Linked DNA regions of Kluyveromyces lactis. The protein of the gene in region 1 purifies or fractionates together with the protein of each later gene. This does not show direct contact. Links are inferred from orthologs where the notes say so. Each region holds a gene or a part of one and is shown in the gene's direction. Other genes may lie near its edges. The genes, in order: CWC2, CWC21, SMB1, SMD1, SMX3, SYF2 and PRP46.

What was found.
Region 2: the proteins of CWC2 (region 1) and CWC21 purify together in Saccharomyces cerevisiae (affinity purification with mass spectrometry; 3 studies listed by BioGRID). This does not show direct contact. The link is inferred for Kluyveromyces lactis from reciprocal best matches to the Saccharomyces cerevisiae genes CWC2 and CWC21.
Region 3: the proteins of CWC2 (region 1) and SMB1 purify together in Saccharomyces cerevisiae (affinity purification with mass spectrometry; 4 studies listed by BioGRID). This does not show direct contact. The link is inferred for Kluyveromyces lactis from reciprocal best matches to the Saccharomyces cerevisiae genes CWC2 and SMB1.
Region 4: the proteins of CWC2 (region 1) and SMD1 purify together in Saccharomyces cerevisiae (affinity purification with mass spectrometry, with the first as the bait; 3 studies listed by BioGRID). This does not show direct contact. The link is inferred for Kluyveromyces lactis from reciprocal best matches to the Saccharomyces cerevisiae genes CWC2 and SMD1.
Region 5: the proteins of CWC2 (region 1) and SMX3 purify together in Saccharomyces cerevisiae (affinity purification with mass spectrometry; 3 studies listed by BioGRID). This does not show direct contact. The link is inferred for Kluyveromyces lactis from reciprocal best matches to the Saccharomyces cerevisiae genes CWC2 and SMX3.
Region 6: the proteins of CWC2 (region 1) and SYF2 purify together in Saccharomyces cerevisiae (affinity purification with mass spectrometry, with the first as the bait; 3 studies listed by BioGRID). This does not show direct contact. The link is inferred for Kluyveromyces lactis from reciprocal best matches to the Saccharomyces cerevisiae genes CWC2 and SYF2.
Region 7: the proteins of CWC2 (region 1) and PRP46 purify together in Saccharomyces cerevisiae (affinity purification with mass spectrometry; 5 studies listed by BioGRID). This does not show direct contact. The link is inferred for Kluyveromyces lactis from reciprocal best matches to the Saccharomyces cerevisiae genes CWC2 and PRP46.

What each region holds. Positions count from the first base shown.
Region 1 is NC_006039.1:1,336,585-1,339,613, forward strand, and holds CWC2 (active spliceosome conformation promoter CWC2), read left to right. Parts: upstream 1-1,399; coding exon 1,400-2,413; downstream 2,414-3,029. Other genes in the region: snoRNA-binding protein NHP2, read right to left, coding at 1-442; mRNA splicing protein PRP28, read right to left, coding at 2,855-3,029. UniProt on the Saccharomyces cerevisiae protein: Involved in the first step of pre-mRNA splicing. Required for cell growth and cell cycle control. Plays a role in the levels of the U1, U4, U5 and U6 snRNAs and the maintenance of the U4/U6 snRNA complex.
Region 2 is NC_006038.1:878,960-881,273, forward strand, and holds CWC21 (U2-type spliceosomal complex subunit CWC21), read left to right. Parts: upstream 1-1,215; coding exon 1,216-1,671; downstream 1,672-2,314. Other genes in the region: OAZ1 (Oaz1p), read left to right, coding at 510-1,088; KLLA0_B10076g (uncharacterized protein), read right to left, coding at 2,118-2,314. UniProt on the Saccharomyces cerevisiae protein: Involved in pre-mRNA splicing. May function at or prior to the first catalytic step of splicing at the catalytic center of the spliceosome, together with ISY1. May do so by stabilizing the catalytic center or the position of the RNA substrate.
Region 3 is NC_006038.1:47,980-50,541, reverse strand, and holds SMB1 (mRNA splicing protein SMB1), read left to right. Parts: upstream 1-1,443; coding exon 1,444-2,019; downstream 2,020-2,562. Other genes in the region: Rab family GTPase YPT31, read left to right, coding at 1-149; CHZ1 (Chz1p), read right to left, coding at 489-1,007. UniProt on the Saccharomyces cerevisiae protein: Plays a role in pre-mRNA splicing as a core component of the spliceosomal U1, U2, U4 and U5 small nuclear ribonucleoproteins (snRNPs), the building blocks of the spliceosome.
Region 4 is NC_006040.1:320,231-322,756, forward strand, and holds SMD1 (mRNA splicing protein SMD1), read left to right. Parts: upstream 1-1,485; coding exon 1,486-1,911; downstream 1,912-2,526. Other genes in the region: KLLA0_D03740g (uncharacterized protein), read left to right, coding at 1-301; KLLA0_D03751g (uncharacterized protein), read right to left, coding at 291-854; U4/U6-U5 snRNP complex subunit PRP38, read right to left, coding at 2,059-2,526. UniProt on the Saccharomyces cerevisiae protein: lays a role in pre-mRNA splicing as a core component of the spliceosomal U1, U2, U4 and U5 small nuclear ribonucleoproteins (snRNPs), the building blocks of the spliceosome. Also binds telomerase RNA and is required for its accumulation.
Region 5 is NC_006041.1:436,099-438,681, forward strand, and holds SMX3 (mRNA splicing protein SMX3), read left to right. Parts: upstream 1-1,620; coding exon 1,621-1,623; intron 1,624-1,734; coding exon 1,735-2,070; downstream 2,071-2,583. Other genes in the region: GPI-anchor transamidase subunit GAB1, read left to right, coding at 123-1,301. UniProt on the Saccharomyces cerevisiae protein: Plays a role in pre-mRNA splicing as a core component of the spliceosomal U1, U2, U4 and U5 small nuclear ribonucleoproteins (snRNPs), the building blocks of the spliceosome.
Region 6 is NC_006041.1:412,680-415,397, reverse strand, and holds SYF2 (Syf2p), read left to right. Parts: upstream 1-1,455; coding exon 1,456-2,121; downstream 2,122-2,718. Other genes in the region: UTP8 (Utp8p), read right to left, coding at 1-1,215; KLLA0_E04621g (uncharacterized protein), read right to left, coding at 2,220-2,718.
Region 7 is NC_006042.1:1,034,089-1,037,339, reverse strand, and holds PRP46 (mRNA splicing protein PRP46), read left to right. Parts: upstream 1-1,327; coding exon 1,328-2,632; downstream 2,633-3,251. Other genes in the region: pseudouridine synthase PUS7, read right to left, coding at 1-1,066; NuA4 histone acetyltransferase complex catalytic subunit ESA1, read left to right, coding at 2,997-3,251. UniProt on the Saccharomyces cerevisiae protein: Involved in pre-mRNA splicing. May also be required for cell cycle progression at G2/M.

The sequences.
Region 1 (3,029 bases):
AGCTTACTTCCTTAACAATTTCATCGAATGCAGCACGGTATTCTTCTTCCTTAGCCTTAGCATCTTTCTTCTTGTTAGAGCCTGGAACGATGAATACAACAGAAGTAGGTCTCTTGGTGGCACCAGCAGAACCTAGATCTTGCTTCGAGGGCACAAAGATATATGGAACAGATTGGTCTTCACACAAAACTGGCAAGTGAGAAATAACATCTTGTGGGAAAATATCACCAGCAATGACTACTAACCCTTTATCACCCTTTCTCAAAGCCTTGACAACCTCTTTGACACCTCTTTTGACATTCTTAGCCTTGGAAGCCTTCTTGACGGTCTTTAACACCTTTTTGTTCAGTTTCTTTGATGCTAGAGGTTTTGCAAATGGTAGAACGGCAGGAAGTCTAGCTTCGTAGTTGTCTTCTGTTGATACACTCTTATCCTTGGCCATCTTTGTTATTATGTATAGTTCTTCACTGTTCCCCTGGTTCAAATAGAGCGAGCAATTGATTGAGAAAGGAATCAATATCACATCAGCAAGATAGGTTCATCGATTCATTCAACAGTTCAATTCTCATACTCATCGCTCTTCTTTTTGTTAACAAAAAATGAAAATTTTCCAGTACCGAGTAACATGAAAAAGAAATAAAGTATCAATTACAGTAGGGACGACATAAATTAATCCATGCGACACATAAACAACTTTTCAGAATATCGTGCCAGCGTCTTGTTTCGGAGGTGGTACATAGCAGTTGTAGAAATGTCCATCGCCTAACATTATTCTGGATGAGTCCCTTTAATTTCATACAAAACTTGGAGTTTTAAATGGCGAACAATATGTACAATGATTAAACTCTGTAGGAGAAATTAGCTGTTCCAGGTGCAGGGCATTATTGTCCTGTGATCACTTCACTTGTATAATTAAATACTTTAAAAGGTTTAAATACTCCATATACCTCTTAATGTCAGGCAATGTAGTCTTAGTAAACCTTGAAGTTTGGTTATAGCATCATTGAAAATTACAACACACAAGTAACTTCTCTCGGTAGCCAAGTTGGTTTAAGGCGCCAGACTGTAATTTGAAAACACAAAGCAATTTGTAATCTGGAGATCGGGCGTTCGACTCGCCCCCGGGAGACTTATCTTTTTTTCGTTTCCATTTTGTTTTTGATCATGATCGTTTTCACTAAAGAAAAGTTCCAACCTTGAAGTTTATTGAAAACACTTTGGCCTGCGATGAGATGAACATGGAAGATGTGTGCTCGACAAGATACAGTTTTCACCGTTATAATACGGTATCTGTTGTTGCATAAATTGGACGGTTCAAACTGTTTGCTTGTTCGAGGTCATTAAAGAATACTTGGTTTGGCAAATTGCCAAATATTAAGGTCATCGTCATCAATATATTATGACTGGGGATTGGAAGAACCGACCAGCAAGGGTTCAGTTACAGGAGTCTGACCTACCTTCATCAGTACCGCCTCAGACGGGTTTGGCTTTCAACGTATGGTACAACAAATGGTCACAGGGGCAAAGTGGGTCCACTAGGTTCGTCACACCGTACTCGCTTGATCCCGAGAACGATTCTGGTATCACTAAAGGTGATAAAGAGGGTCGGATTCATTTCTGTTTGTATTTCGCTAAGGGAATGTGCTGTTTAGGCAAAAATTGTCGGTACTTGCATCATATTCCAGAGCCAGATGATTTTGCGAGGTTAGCTTTGCATTCCTCTGCGTTAGATTGTTTTGGAAGAGAGAAATTTGCTGATTATAGAGATGATATGGGTGGGGTAGGTTCCTTCAAGAAACCTAACCGTGTCTTATACGTGGGTGGTATTACAGGGGCACTCAACAACAAAACTTTGAAACCACATCAGATTGAGAATAGAGTGAAATACAAGTTCGGGAAACTTGGAGAATTGGATTCTGTTCGATACGTGGAGAGTAAGAATTGTGCCTTTGTCAAGTTCAAATTACAGTGTAACTCCGAATTTACTAAGGAAGCAATGGGCAATCAGACTCTATTAATACCAACCGATAAAGAGTGGGATCTAAGGAAGGAGGGAACTGGGTTGCTTGTGAAATGGGCGAACGAGGATCCTAATCCAGCTGTACGAAAGAGAGAATTGGAAGAACAAACCCAAGAGACTTTGAAAGCTATAAAACAACTAGTGGCTAGTACTGAAGGCACTGTAAATCAAAAACGTAAAGTTGAAGAAATCAACGAAGTGAGAGATTCGCAGGCGAACAGTCGTGAAAGATTCAGCATTAGGGAGAATGCAATCATAGATAAGACTATTTTAGATAAGTTGAAACAAAGGAAAGTGACTATTACCAATACCAACGTTGCTGCAAATATAACAGTTTCAAAACCATCGTCGGTTTTACCTTTGGTAACCCAATATTCATCTGATGAAGACTAGATTTCGTGAAGTCATGTGACACATTGACTTTTCCAGATTAGGTATATTTTGGATTACTGGTTGCCGTCATGAACAACATCTAGCGGATTTCAGATTTGTTTTACTGACATTGCAAATATTTGAAATGAATATAAAAGCTATCAATGCCTGGTTTTCAAATTATGTCGAAGTTGTTTTGTCGAGTTCACTTACTTGAACTTCGTCAGTCTACGGTTTGGCCTTCATCAAAAAACACGATAATTTTGAATCAGACATCCGAAAAAATGGAAGACAAGGCACAGGCTCAAACAAGAACGCATGAATCGTCAGACCATTGGGTATTTCCAGGATTGACCTGGAATCCTAAATGCATTATTAGCTAGCACACTGTAACTATTTACGTTAAATACTCTAATTCATATTGCATGACTCTAAAATTTCAAGGAAAAAAGTCTAGTCCTTTCATATAATAATTGGTTTGTATGAAGATTTGTCAACATTGTATTTCGACATAGCTTCTTTTGAGATGTAATTTTCTCCGGTGAAGTCGTTCTTTTTGACATAATCGAACAATTTAGCCATGGCAGAATGATCTTCCTCCTCGGTTAGAAAAGTAAGTGCAGTACCAGTTTTACCA
Region 2 (2,314 bases), on another chromosome or scaffold:
GTGAATGGTTACCCGGGTTTATCCGTGCATTACCCTCCTTCATCTTAACCCTCACAATTGAAAATCACAATTCAAACACCGTCCATGTGATATGCAAAGGTGTATCATATAAGTGCGTTATGTAATGGTAAATAAAGGAATGACTATGACTAGCTCATACCAGCTTATCGGTTTGTTAAACAATATTTCACCTGGTTGGTTATCAAAACGCTGTTCCCGACTCCTTCAGTCAGTTATATCATAAATTTTGCCCGCATCACTCTCCAAAATGAGTAGAGTAATACATAGAAACGAGCTATACAAGAGACAACAGAGGATAGAAAGCTATGTATCGGGTTTACTAGATGAGTTTTCCCCCTTGGCTATCGACTTCCCACTTATTGACTTGACGAAAAATAAAAGACACGATAACATAGACGTACTACCTTCTTCCACAACGACAGATAATAATTCGGATGAATTTCTAATATCACCAAATTTTTACCAGTTTAAGAACAGAGAATGGTCAGATGTTACTCTTCGGCTGGCGTAGCACCGGATTGTGTAAATTTCAGTTGGAACAGTATTGGGATATCTTATTTCTATTCGAATCCAAGTTTTACCAGTTTAAACCGCAAGATTATAAACTTTGGACGACGTATCTTGTGAAAAATGTCAGTAAACTCTTGAAACAATTGGTGCGTGGGAGATCAATGGATTCGAAGGTTTATGATATTGGTTCTAACTATTTTACTATCTTGGACCCAACTTTCCAGCTGTTCGGTAAAATCCTTCTATCATCCGATCTGGGGAAAATTGCATCGATTTATCTACACCATGTCTCCACATCTGCGTACTCACAGGACCTTCGGCAACTCATACTCAAAATATGGGAATTCTTAGACCACGATAATTTTCAATGCGATCTAATGGTATTCTACATTGCCAATACAATCGAAAACCATGATTTGATTACGAATTTATTACGGAACCTAGCATGGCTAAACGGATCCTTGATGAAACCTATTGGTACGCGCACACTGGATTCTACGTTTAGTTCCATCAGTTGGTCAGATGATAAGTATGTCATACTTCAGTTTCAAGTTTGAAAGTGGATGTCTTCACTCTACTGTCCCTCTGTCTAGTAACGATATGTATGCGTGTATTTAAGTATTCCAGAGTTAAACACCCATACATCACATTATTAATAATAGCTATATCAGTTTTAACGAATTGATGAAATGGAATGAGTTAAGCTACACGCTGCAGTATCACTGTCACTTCAAACCATTACACTCTTGGCTGCTGAAGGGAATATACCAACCCAGCTGCTCGTGTCTCTATATAATAATGTCATATAACGGCATCGGTTTATCTAGTGCCAAGGGAAGCAGCACCTCCGGTTACGTTCAACAATCGTTAGCATTTACGAACAGGAAAAAGGACCCTAGATTAACTACACATGATAAAGAACAACAGCAACAGCAACAGCAGCAACAAATACAACCTGCTAAAGATGAAAGCGTAATATCCCACAAAGCGAAAAGGCAGATCGAATTATTAGTTTCTGAGTATCGTGATAAACTAGAGGATGGACCGGATGATTTGTCTGATGACACCATAGACAGTAAATGTGAAGACTATCGCAGGTCTATACTAGAAGGAAACGAGCAGTCAAGAAGTCAGAATTGATTAATAATTTCGCTTGGTGTATCATAGCTATATTACATTTTAGTACTAGTACACGATTGTTAAACATGAACTATAAAACTTAGAACTAATAAAATAATATACAAAACTGCAACTTTCTGGCTCAAAGGTAAAAGTGTAATTTAACAAGATAGTCAACGTTCTGCCCCAATATAATCTTGTCGGGGCTTTTATTGATGCATAATAAAAGAAGTAAGATAATATGTTTCTCCCCTGATGAAGTGAATGTCCGTACAATTATCTTAACACTGAAAGAGAAAGGAAGGTTTAAATGGAAGAAAAGTAAAACGGTGTTTTAAAAGATGCCATGAACTGAGAAATAATTTGAATTTTTAGAGTCTTTTCATTGTTTTAACAGGCAATCGATTTATATGATATGCCCTTCGTATAATTTTAGATTTTATTTTGTCGTGTAAATTTTCATTCATTCATTCATTTCTACACCAGATAGTCAAATTTTTGAATTGTTCCAAACCTTTGTCTAAATCGTCAATATTGACCAATTTCTTCCCGTCTTCGAGGTTATGACTATCATGAATGTAAATGAACTTATTTTGGAACTCATTTGGAGAATCGCACTTAATCAAATAGATTTTCATATCAGATTTATAACGCGGATAACAAA
Region 3 (2,562 bases), on another chromosome or scaffold:
TTACTGCTATCTACCAAATGATTTCCAAAAATCAACTAGACTTGAATGACGCCTCAGGAAACAATGCCAACGCTCCAAAGGGACCTACGATCTCTTTGACACCGGCACCAAACGAAAAACACAAAAAGAGTACAAACAACTGCTGTTAGGAATTCTAAACGTGTATTATGGTCATTCCTTATAGGGTGTTTATATAGAAAGTATAAGCCCCGGAAAGAAAAAGGGAAGCAGAATTATCATCGACTGGGACATTTATCCCGATTAAGTTAGACACTTGTTTTATGTATATAACATTGACTGCCATAATTATGCAAATACTAGCTGTTTGGAAGGACATCCTGAAACTTCTTAACTGCAAAATACCTTCTCAGTTCATTGCGTCGTATCCATTGTTCTTTTAAATGAAACACTACCATAATGTCAAACATGGAGATTTAGTGAAACTACAAACTTTTATATGCGCTTGAGTAAATTTTTAATTCAAATTTCTATTTGGGTTCAGTCGGACTAGCAGGGGCAGGGGCAGGAGCAGCTGGATCCTTGAACTCTTCGTCATTTTCTTCATCGTCTTCATCATCATCATCATCCTTGCCAACCTCACCATTTTTTTCCAATTTCTCGGCAGTCTTTTTATAATCAATAATCTTACCACGAGTTCTCCTACCAGTAGTTATAATATTGGAACTATCGATTTCTGAAAGGTCGTCTTCTTCTTCATCTTCTTTTACCATCATTTGATCTAATTTTTCGTCATCGACTTCACTTTCACTATCTTCTTCCTTGTTAGCACCAGAAGTAGCAGATGCCTTGTCTTCTTGAGCAATTTTTTCATCCAAATCATCATAGTTTCTTCTTCTTCTCTTCTTTTTAGATTTCTTATCGTTGGCATCAGCGGTAGAAGCAAGCTCACTTTCAGCACTTCTTTTAGCTTGTGAAGCAACGTTGGAAGAGTCAGGCTCTTCTGCACCTATTTGAAATTCTTGCTTATCCTTAATTTCTTCAGCCATATTTGCAAACTTTGTATCTGTTGATATGATTAGTGTGCTGATGTTCGAGGAGTACGACCTAGGCTCACGCAATGCTTTTTTTGATCTAAAGATGCTTACCAGTATTTGTTTCCTTTTCGCATCTTGCGAACCAAATATAATTCATATTATCTCAAATCCCAAAGAAACATAATTTTCCACGTGATCATTTTTTTTCATAGCCGCATAGTGGATGAATTCTAACTATCATGTTGTATCGAAAATTAAAACATTAACTAGTTTCACGATCAATGAGTAACTTGCGTTGGTCCTATAAAGAATCACTGCTACGGACCGCTTTTTTGTGCATGATATAAGGATACCTCTTACAATCGAGTTTACAGTCTTTTTCACTTTCTTTGTTCACCAAGAAGAATAGTTATATCTCTAAGCATATCATACAAAAGATACAAGGACGATGTCGCAAGTTGAAGTTAAAAAGAAGGAAACGAAGCTATCAGATTTGATAGATTATAGAATACGAGTCGCTACCCATGACGGAAGGGTTTATATTGGCCAACTTATGGCTTTTGATGCATATATGAACCTTGTAATGGGAGATTGTGTAGAGGAACGCATGCCTCATAAACAAATCATAGAAGTACTTAAAAGTGGAGGAAACTTGTCAAGCAATGTGCAAGTCGAAAGAAGGACTTTTGGACTAATAATTTTACGGGGTGAGCATGTGTTGAGTACCTCGGTTGAGTCACCTCCCCAACTCTCTAAGAAGGAACGAATCGAAGTCCAGAAGAAGAATGCAAAAAAATTAGATAATGCGAAAAAGGCTCGTCAAGGGAAGACTTCTAACAAGATGAACGTTGGAACGAATGGATCTAATATAACTTCAACTAACTCAGAAAGTTCAAATAGAGTTACGAAGCCAAGTCATAAACCTATCAATACGAATTCTGGAGCTCCCAGTAGGTTTAATTCTAATAGTCAGGTACGCCCCAGCCGGTTCCAAGCCCCTCCAGGCTTCAAAAAAAGAAACTAAACCAGCGAACAACTTGTCATACTTATTGATATAAAAAAAATTGTTTTGGTGCTACGATCACCGATCTTAGCTATAATTATCCGAGACATGTTGATAGATATGTCTTTAGTTACCTCTTACGTACACGCAGAGGACTTTGGATATCCCACTGTAACGACTAGAACAAGAAGATATAGAATTTATCTAGCTTTATCCAGTGTAATGATATCCCTGTACTGCGCAACGTTAAAAGCCTGTGCGAAATATGATTATCCACCTCATTCCCTTTTCAACCACCCCACCAAATGCCTATACGAAACCTCCAGATATACCCCATGACCCCACCATAGCCCTGCGGACAAAAGAAATGTTATGTGTTAAATATGGCTTCCAACTGGACAATCATGGTGCGGAATATCTCTCAGCTGAGAACGGGCAAGAATTAGAGTTTGCAAGTTTCGCAAAAACAACAAATATATCGCATGCCACGATATCATGAGTGTGTGTTTTTTTTATAGGAATCCGGAGAAATAGTCCTACTGATTGTTCAAGCATCCCGGAAAA
Region 4 (2,526 bases), on another chromosome or scaffold:
AGATTTAGCACAGTTGACCTATGAACTTGGGTTGAAGGATAAGGAAGTCATGACTTTAAAGCAAAGTCTGGAACGCCTCAATGCTGAAGTCGAGAAGCTAAGAAACGAGAACAGAGGCTTGAAAAGCGAATTGGAACATTGGAATAAACTACCGATGAGTCCAATATCTTTGTCTTCAGAAAACGATCAAACTGAGGACGATAAAAACCGAATGATTCAAGAGAATTTGCGGAGAGAGATTCTTTCCTTGAAGAATGAAAGTAATATTTTATCAGAATGGATCAAGACCCTTATTTCTTGAATTTCTTCAAATAAATATTCTGAGCCGTACCCAGAATTGCGTATGCCAAACTAAAAAATACGGACCATTTATCTGGTGAAATGTATCTTTGAGCAATTGACATCAATACCGTTGATGTTGCCAAGCTGGAAGACAACATTGCCGCATATCTTGTCTTGATTGCGTGTATAATTTTTGTTTTGTCAACCTTACCGTTGTTAACAGAAGTCAAGGTAAATAGTAACCCTAACACTTGAATAGGCGATACCATGCCTAATGAGCAGCCTAACTGGACCAAGCTTCTATATTTGGATACCACTTTCCTAATTGTGTATTCGTTTATCCATTTGTAACTGAAATGATTAACTGGTGCGTTAAATAGACCACCATATAGACTCATCAATGCCACTTTGATCCAATTTAGCTTCTCTTTTCTTTCCTCTGGAGACAGACTAACCCATTGACTGAACAGTTCGCTTAACCCAGTTAATACCGCGCCTGTTATGCATTTAGTTAATAACGGGTTACGTTTGAGTAAAATATTATATCTCTTCAAGATTACTGATGACGACATGTTTACTCTTGGCGTTAATCTTTAATACTCCCAATCTCTCGATGCGAGCAGCAGTAACCTTGAAAGCTTGCGATCCATGAGATATGAAAAGAGTAATATCTGACTTTAACATCTATATATATATATATATATATATATCCAGATTTTATCAAAGCAATGACTGACAGAACGTTTTGTTATCGCTTGCATGGATAGTTTCTTATCGCACTTCTCCGTGTATCTGTTAACCATTTAACATGAGATGCAACGGATCTAAATACTTTTTGGGTTCCATGTAAGATTCGAACACATGCTCGCTCGAATGTAAGAAACCATTGGAATCTCACGCAAATGAGTTACCCTGTTAAGGCACGTGATAATATGAAATTTCCACTCTTTTCCAGGAAAGAACGACCCCATTGATTCTTGAGTATCAATTTGAACCATTTCATCCATCATTATGTAGAATATGTCAATTGAGTAACTACGATCAAATCCTGATCTTTTATCAAAATCAGGAAGTTGCTTGTGGATCATCTGTTACTTTTGCAAAATTCAAAACTCTTTTTCATCAAAACCATTTGAAACTGGTAACAGCTTTCTGGTGTATCTTTAGTCCGATTGAAACAACGAAGTTTTATATACAGACAAAATGCAGTTAACAGGGTTCTTAAAGAAACTAAAGAATGAAAGGGTGTCTATAGAGTTGAAGAATGGTACCACTGTTTGGGGAATAGTGAGGAGTGTGTCACCGCAGATGAACGTCTCTCTTACTGACGTCAGGCTGACACTCCCTACTAAGACCTCAGAAGCTACCTTGGCTGCCGTCTTATTGTCAGGTGGATCGACACAAGGACAAGAATCTAAGAGAACAACTAGCCTCGAGTTCATCAACATTAGGGGTAATACGATAAGGCAGATTATTTTACCAGATAGTATCAATTTGGATGCGTTGCTTGTAGACCAACAGGAAGTCAACAGGTTGAGGAAACAAGGTAAAGTGGGAAGTGATCCGAATAAGAAGAGATCACTTGAGAGTAACGGGAATGCTCCTAAACGTCCAAAGAGGGCATTTTAATATACATCAGAAAACATATGTGGAAATAAATATGTAGTGATGTTATGGACTTTGTTTTGATGAATGATTAAACACTATTGATAATTATCTTTCATAATGAATAGCCGTTCTTTCCAGTCGATGCCTCCAAAAAAAGAAAGAATGGAATCAAATTTGATCACTGTCATCTCTTGGATCAGAGCTGGAGTCCGAGTCGCTTGAGCTCTCATCGTCCTCTTCATCGTCCCATATTTTACACCAATTGCATTTTCCTAAGGGGATGCCCCAAATTTCATTCCTGTCGCATAACCAGTCTATCAACTCATCGAAATGTATCAATTTAATCTCTTTTTTAATCGATGATGACCAACAATCCATATCTAACGAGTAACTTTTTAATTTTCTATGATCAAGTATATATTTCTTCATTAAATCATGTAATAAATTGAACGATATATCTTGCTCGGAAGGATTACTCTCAGTTAAGAAATAATACGAGATTCTCATATAACATAATACCAGTGCTGCAATATACTTGTTGTTTAAGGGTTCATGCGGTTCTAGTAATACTTTTAGTTGTTCCCACGGAGGTCGCAGGTTGATCAATTTCATCAATAGACATTTGAACTCTATACC
Region 5 (2,583 bases), on another chromosome or scaffold:
GTACTGCAATTACGAAGCTCGGTTCACGATTGGTTTGTTTTTTTGCATTGAACGGTGATACGATTCTGAGAGGATACGAAGTGACCCTACTGTGTTGACTTGTTGTGTCGCTTGAGGTGATTATGGTTTCGTCCGAATGGCAGGTTGTATGGGCTTGTTTTGCGTCCAGATTGGCTGTTTCGTACCTGTTCCCTTCTTTGCAGCAGCAATTGGACAGAACCGTTGAGTTTTCTACTCCGGTTACAAGCTATAGATCTCTGCAAGAAGGTGCGTATCTTTTACTGCATAATTTGCCCATTTATGATGGTGGTGTTGTGCATCATGTGCCTCTGCTGGTAGCTTTAATGGCATTCGTTCAACAAGCGGAGTTTCTAATGCCCGTTTTGTTTGCGGCCATGGACACTCTAATAGCGTATCAATTGATGCAAATAGCTAAGATATATCAACGCCAATTGCAAATTCCTAGTTATATTCCAGGTGTGGTTTATGCAGTGAACCCTTTGGTACTTTTATCATGTGTCTCACAATCGACATGTCTATTTGTGAACCTTTCCATTTCTACTTCTTTACTATTTGCGTTATCTAGACAGTTCTCACTGTCAGCCATATGCATTGCGTTGGCTGGTTATTTATCACCTTACGCTTATCTACTGTTGATCCCATTGGCAGGAATCTGTGGATCAAATTCTTTCGGCCTTGTTGTCAAGTGTACATTGGTATCGATTGTTTTGCAGTTGATCAGTTTCAAGTTAAATAACGATAACTGGAACTATTTGACTTCAACATACTGGATATTGATTACTTTCAGTAAGATAAGGCCAAATCTAGGGTTGTGGTGGTATTTCTTTATTGAAATGTTCGAATTTTTCATCCCATTTTTCAAATCTGTGTTCAACATATTTGTTGTTTCATTTATCCCACCTTTCACTATTAGATTCAATCAGCAATCGTTTTACGCATTTGTTCTATGTCTAGGTTGGATTACGCTCACCAAATCATACCCAACGTTAGGTGACGGAGGGTTTTTCTTAAGTTTTATCCCATTTTTCAAACCGATCTTTGGGTATCTAAGATATCCAGTCATATCAACCCTTTTATTCATTCATGCCATCATTTTGTCACCAATCTTCTACTACCTATGGATTGGATTAGGCTCCGGTAATAGTAACTTTTTCTATGCCATTTCTTTGGTTTATGCGTTAGCCATCTCGTCAGTGATTGTGGATTTGACGTGGGCCATGTTAAGAATTGAATACGATTCAGGTAAACCAAACCTTTCATTAAAACTGACTCAAATTTGAATGAACCCTGTTCCTTCTGTTGGAAGAAACATATCGTATTGTCATTATTTAATATATATCTAAGTATGACTTACCCAGTGCATGGCATAAAAACTTTTGAAAACTGTCCGGACTACTTTGGTTTGTTTTATTTGTTCCCTTGGTAGGGCATCTAATATTTCCATGCCATATTGAAAAACATGAAAATACAGTATTGCAAAAAGATAGACAACGAAAACATTACGTAGCAACCAACAGACGTAATAAAACCTTTAACAGATTCTCGAATTATATCGTGTAATCGATACATATCAGAACACCCGCGCATTAACGTATTGAAATGGTAAGTTTTCTTGTTCCATACTTTTTTGGTCGCAGCTAGGACGATTATGTCCATCTGCGATCGATGAATCCACAGATTTTGTCACCTTACTAACCAATTTAAACGTTGCAGGATCCAGAGGAATTCAAACCAATTAACCCTAAACCCTTTTTACATCAATTGATAGACAAAGATGTGCTGGTGACACTCAAATTCAATAAAATACAATATAAAGGAAGACTTGTATCGGTAGATACATATTTCAATCTACAACTAACAGATGCGGAAGAGATCATAAATGATGTCTCAAGTGGGAAAGTTGGGGACATTTTCATCAGATGTAATAACGTGCTATACGTAGGAGAGGATGTGAACAAGCAAAGTGATCAACCCCCTACGCCGACTGGAACAACAGAGAAATCTGACGATAAAGAGGAAAATGGAGAACTCGCAGAAGAAGCGAATTAATATAGCACTAGTCTGAATATTATTGAAGCAAACAAGGAAACATCGGAATAATTATGGATTCACTGTATAGCTTTCCTCAGTTGTAATAGAATTAGGGAACTGCTTATCTTAATAAAGGGAATATTAGTATTAGTATAATTAATGATAGTATAGTTTATGTAGGTTTTACAATTCAAAGGCTCATTCTAAAAAAATCTCTAGAGATTAATACCTTATGTTTTTCATTCCAAGAAGGTCTCGTTCACGGTGTAACAGCTGTTCCAGCCACCATGGATTTCTTATTGCTTACTAGTTTTCCAGTTGAGTTGGGGTAGTGATTTCCAAAAAAAATGCAAAAATGAAACGGACAGGAATTGAACCTGCAACCCTTCGATTGCAATTTTGTTTCCATAGAAATTTCCAGGATTTAACTGGAGTCGAAAGCTCTACCATTGAGCCACCGCTTCATTCTTAAGGTTTTTATCTATAACATCTTCTATATGAAATGGAGTGGCAGCATTCCTTATTTATAAT
Region 6 (2,718 bases), on another chromosome or scaffold:
ACAGATATGGAGTTGTTTTATAATGCGTTCATAGTCTGGAGATGGCAATTCCACATCGTCGTCCTCATTGCTTTCTTCAAAGAGTTTCTGTAGTTTCTGCTTTTGTTTAACCATGAACCCTTTACCCATCGCATCTTTTAAGGTACCGGTACCAACATCAATGTTAATAACATCCAAGTAACTCGTAGGGTTAGCACCGTTTTTAGTTGTAACATCTAATGCTATAGTTTTTCTATTGTCTTCAGAGTTTTCTTGAACAACTGCAGTAGAGAGTAGTTGAATAGCTTTGATGTTCTGTAAATCCTTTTGGAATAGTATAGCATTGTATAACAAATCCACAAGATATATGGTATTATCAGCAGTCAACAATACACGGTTTGAAGAAACTGGTTTGATGGATACAACTGCATCCTTGGAAATGAAAGGTAGCTGAATGCTAGTTTGTAGTTGCAAATGTGGTAACTGATAGATTGATAATTCATTTGAGTTCTTTAAAACATATAATTTCCCGAACTCAAAACACAACTTTGCATTCTCTAAAGTGTAATTTTCTAGTATGATAGAATTTAGTTCAATACATGAGACGGACTCACTCCTAACTTGGAAAAGTTTGTAACAGATTTTCTCATCACTTAGTTGGCATAACACGAAAAAGAAATCGTTTCCCTGCCCATCTTGGAAGAATTGAACAAATCTGATATCATCATAAGATATATCAATAGTATTTGAAAGTTTCAATTCATAATCAAATGTTTGAATCAGTCCATTCCTTAAGATAACGAGAACTTTCTCTGCTTTAGAATAGATCTTAATGCTAACGACTTCAGATTTTAGTTTATATTTGAACTGAGATGTGATTTCAGCATTTGAAGATGACACGGCATCTTGAATCATCGGCTTAGTAGCCAAGTGTAAATGTGATACCTTTCTAGCTTCCAATCCGTAACACCAGACTTCTGTATTGGCTGCATCTTCTACCACGTCACATGCAGTAACAATGTTCGTAGAGGGGATTGGCAAGTTAAAAACCAGCTTCGGGGTTGGATTAATCAAGTATTGTGATATACTGGAACCTGATATACCAATATTCACTTTATTGGCTGATGGTGAAAGATTATCAACAACTTGTAAGTAGTCTGTTTGATTCGCATAATTATTCAATGATGGAATCTTAGGTAGAGCAGAGAGCCTAAAAGGCTGTGAGATGGATGCCATTTTCTCAATATCTTTCGATAAATAATATCAAAGCAAACTGTATTGAACACAGGATATTTGATACTTCACCTCGTCCTTTCAAGAGCAGCGGTTGAGTGTATCTTTGCACTTACAGCTCATCGCATCTCATCGCATCTCATCTCTTCTTCTGAGTACTTCAAATTTTTCAAACTTTACTTTTGGGAGTCAGTCCGGGTAATATATAGTGTCGAAATGCAAACAGAAACAAGATGAGATGCGATGAATATACTCAGATATCTTCCAGGTGACAGAAAGTGTAGCCCTTATTTGAATGCCACAAATCACATTGTAAACTGGACACAGGCTGATAATAAATATTCGAAGATGAATGATCTAATGGAAATTGAAAAAAAGTTGAAGAGTTTGCGGAAACAAAAAGTGGAAGTAAGTATAAGGAATAAGAAGGCCATAATAGCTGAAGAGAAGAAAAACTCTGAAAGAAGAGTATACAGTATGGCTGACGATGGCGAAGATAAAGCTAGAAGTAACAAAAGCGAACCAGAAGATCCGATAAAATTGGCAAACTACTCAATACGCGAATATGAAAAATGGGAAGCTAAGACACAGAATTCAAGACATAATAAAAGCGTGATGGGGGACTTCCAAACTATAGCAAAGAACAGCTACAAGAAGGAAGTAGATGCGCTTCCGAAGGATATATCACATCCGTTGAAAGGTGGAATAACTGAGGATGGGAAGGTTCAAGTAGAAGATAATCCTGAACTAGTAGAAAAAATGGTGAATGATTTGAACGAACGATCAAAGAAAAGGTATATGGTACGGAAACAAAAACTAGATAAACAAAATAAGATCAATTTGGATGATGGATTTATTAATGACAAGAATAAACGGTTTAATGCAAAATTGAATAGCGAGTTCAAATAGGCATGGGAAAATAGGTATATTGGGCATTTACATATGAGATATTTACGATTGATTATGAATAATTATTTTATTTTAACGATATATAGAGGTGGATTTCTTCATTTGTCTTCAGAATCTAGTGAGTTAAGGACTTCTAGATCTTCTTCTAAGCTCTTGACACATTGCTTGTAATGGATCAATTGGAAATTATGGAACAACTTAACCAAAGAAATGATCTCAGAACTATCTGTAAGTTCTCCCAAGAATTCCACAGTTTCTGAGGTTGCAGACACGAACTGATCTTCTAATCGTTCGAAAAGCTTAGAATCAGGATCTTCTTCTGTCTTTGCCATATCAACTGGTTCCTCATTGGTTTTCTTTTCGGGGGTTTCAGGGGTTTCAGTTGCGACCTTTTTTTCAGCTTCCTCAGAGGATGCTACAACCTCTTTTTCCTGCAGCTTCAATTTAATTTCATGACGTAAAGTATCAAAGTTCAATCTTGCATCTTGAACCTTAGCGCGCAATTCGTGACCTTTCTTGAAATCAGTTTCAATAAGTTTAGATAGTTTGGCGTTGAACTCTTTAACCATCAAACTATCCATTTCAGCCTTGCTTTGA
Region 7 (3,251 bases), on another chromosome or scaffold:
GATGCGTTGAAACACTGAACGTACCAAATCTTTGCATACCGAAATAATTGATGAACCCATTTTGTTCCAAGGATTTCATGCCATTGGCTAGGATATCATCCAAATCATCGCCTTCATTCTTCAATGAAACATCTCTGATAGCAATAGTGAATTCGTTTCCCTGTAGATCTCCCAAGTTCAATGGCTCATCTTCGAATTTGTAGCCACCTAGAACGACACCCTTCAAGCCCTTGTTTAGTCCGTTTAATCTGTCCAAACCAATTTTGGATAAAGACATTCTTTGACAAGTGACAGCCCTACGATCCTTTGTTCCAGAAAATCTGATCAACCTTGTTGGAATTCTCATGAATTTTGATAAAGTATTAGCGACATCCATAGTATCTTTGTTTTCCTTATAGACAGTAAAATGAATAAACGATTTTGATGGACCATAACCCCAGTTTTCGACACCGTTTGCATCCTTAGTTTGTTCGATCAATTCTTCTTTGCTAACACGTGTTTGGCGAGAAGCCATTCCAACAATGAAATGGTTTGAATCCGTCGTTACAGATTCTAACTTGTTGTCGAAAGCTCTACGTAGCAGTTGATGTATTTTAGTCCTTTCAAGTTTATCATCGAATGCCTTCGATGTTTCAATCTTTTTATTTGAGCGGTACACAGCTTCAATTTTTTGAACATCCTCTTCTCCCAAAAGTTCAACAAGTTCATTTCTAATTCCTTCATCCACCTTAAATCCTTGGCGTTTCTCAAGTTCTTCTTTTTGCGATTGCTCGATTTGTTCTCTCGTTGGCTTTGGCTTCTTTGGCATATTAAAACCTTTGTCAGTCAAATGCACAACTTCGCCTTGCTTGGTGATTTCATTGACTAAAAAGTCAGTGTACCTTTGTTTGATCTGACCATTGAAACCAACATTATCCATTGATAAGTAATGCGTGATACCAACATCCTTTTCAGTGATGTTGTTATTGTTTATACCTTCATTTATACCTTCACCAACTTTTGTCCTCTTAATATCTTCTTGCTGGGCAGCAGCTTCGGACTCTCTTTTCAAAGATTGGTCTGACATTATACCAATACTATACTTTAACACGAGAGTACTAATACCTGGTACTTGTTATAAGCAATTAAGAAGCGCAGCTTCCAGATTTGAACAACTGACTTCTGCTTCAATGTGATGAGATGAGATGAGATGAGCTCGAAATTTTTCAAGAAACGAAAAGAACCGTTTTGTATGATGGATATTATGAAAAGTTAACGAAGTGACATATACAAAGATGAAAGAGAGTTACACGACTTAATCGAACTGATAGACAACTAATAAGTACCAATGAATACATCCAGCCGTAGCTCTGAACCTTCGAAGGTAGCAGATGATGTTTACGTTCAAACTCGGTGGAATAATGAATTTAAACATGCTGATTATTTACCTGAGTCGTTACAGAAGTGCCTGGATCAAGAAAAGACTGTTTTAGAAAGGTACAGTGAATTAGTTGAGGTGTCGAAAACTGTTGCAAACGAAAGCTCTCAAGCATTAGTCAAACATACCACAAAACCAGGCGACCAACTAGTACGAAGAGTGTTCCAACAGCCACATCAGCAGATTTCATTGATGGAACGTTATGAAAAGACTCGAAGTTATAAACCGCAATGGCATGCACCATGGAAACTCAGTAAGGTAATAAATGGTCATACTGGATGGGTAAGATGTGTATGCGTGGACCCCGTTGACAATGAATGGTTTGCTACTGGTAGCAACGATACAACCATTAAAATCTGGGATTTAGCTGCGGGAAAGTTGAAAATTACTCTAATCGGGCATGTAATGAGTGTTCGAGATATTGCTATCTCAAAGAGACATCCTTATATGTTCTCAGCAAGCGAAGATAAACTTGTAAAATGTTGGGATCTAGAAAGAAATACTGCAATTAGGGATTTTCACGGTCATTTATCTGGCGTGCATACCGTTGATGTTCATCCGAGCCTTGATATAATAGCTACTGCTGGTCGTGATGCTGTAGTAAGGTTGTGGGATATACGATCAAGATCTGAGATAATGGTTCTGCCCGGTCATAAAAGCCCTATAAATAAAGTCAAATGCCTTCCCGTTGACCCACAAATAATCAGTTGTTCCGGGGATGCAACAGTTAGACTTTGGGATATCATTGCAGGGAAGGCAAGCAAAGTTTTAACGCACCATAGTAGAAACATCAGAGACTTGACGCTACACCCAGCAGAGTTTAGCTTTGCCAGTGTATCTACGAACGACGTCAGATCCTGGAAATTGCCCGAAGGACAGCTATTAACCAACTTTCAATCCCAGAACACTGGGATTTTGAATACCGTATCAATTAATCACGATAATGTACTATTAGCTGGTGGAGATGACGGTACTTTGTGCTTTTACGATTACAAAACAGGACACAAATACCAAAGTATGATGACAACTGAAGTTGCTGGCTCACTTGAAAGTGAGCGATCGATTTTATGCAGCACCTTTGATGTCACAGGAACAAGACTCATCACAGGGGAAGGAGACAAAAGCATCAAAATATGGAAGCAAGTCCCTGATGCTACAGAAGATACATTCCCTGGCTTGCCGTGGAATCCCACGTTAATATCTCAAAGATTCTAATCTAGCTGGTGTCTACTTGCAGCGACTTATGTAGAAGTTTGTAGTTTAACTCTATTAGGTCCCCGTTTTCCATCTATCTAGAATATTTCAGTCTGCATTAATTGCGAGGTTTGCTCTAACTGTCATATGATTACAGTCACGTAGTCAAGGACAGGGAACGTCAGGTTTTCTTGTATGTTTGTTCAAGCATGGTGTTTGCTTTAATACGGTAATCTGAATAAATTAACTGAAATTTAGCATCTTCAAAATATTTGAACTTATTAGTTACGCAATAAACCAAATCCAAAAACAGAGCACCTCTGTAAGAGGAACTAGTAAGGCAAGGCAACTGTTTAACAAATATTTTGGGCGAGCTCGCTAATACATGAGTCACGGCGAAGAAAAGGAACCTGGGATTCCCCAGAAGGTTGACAGCATCGATGAGATTTTCGTTGGATGCAAGTCATGGGTACTAAAAGATGGTCAAGATCGTCTTGCTGAAATTCTATCCATTAACAGCAGAAGAGATCCACCTAAGTTCTACGTGCATTATGAAGACTTCAATAAACGTCTAGATGAATGGATCACTGCTGATAGGTTACAGATAGACAAGGAAGTCATTTTTCCTAGGCCTAAAGAG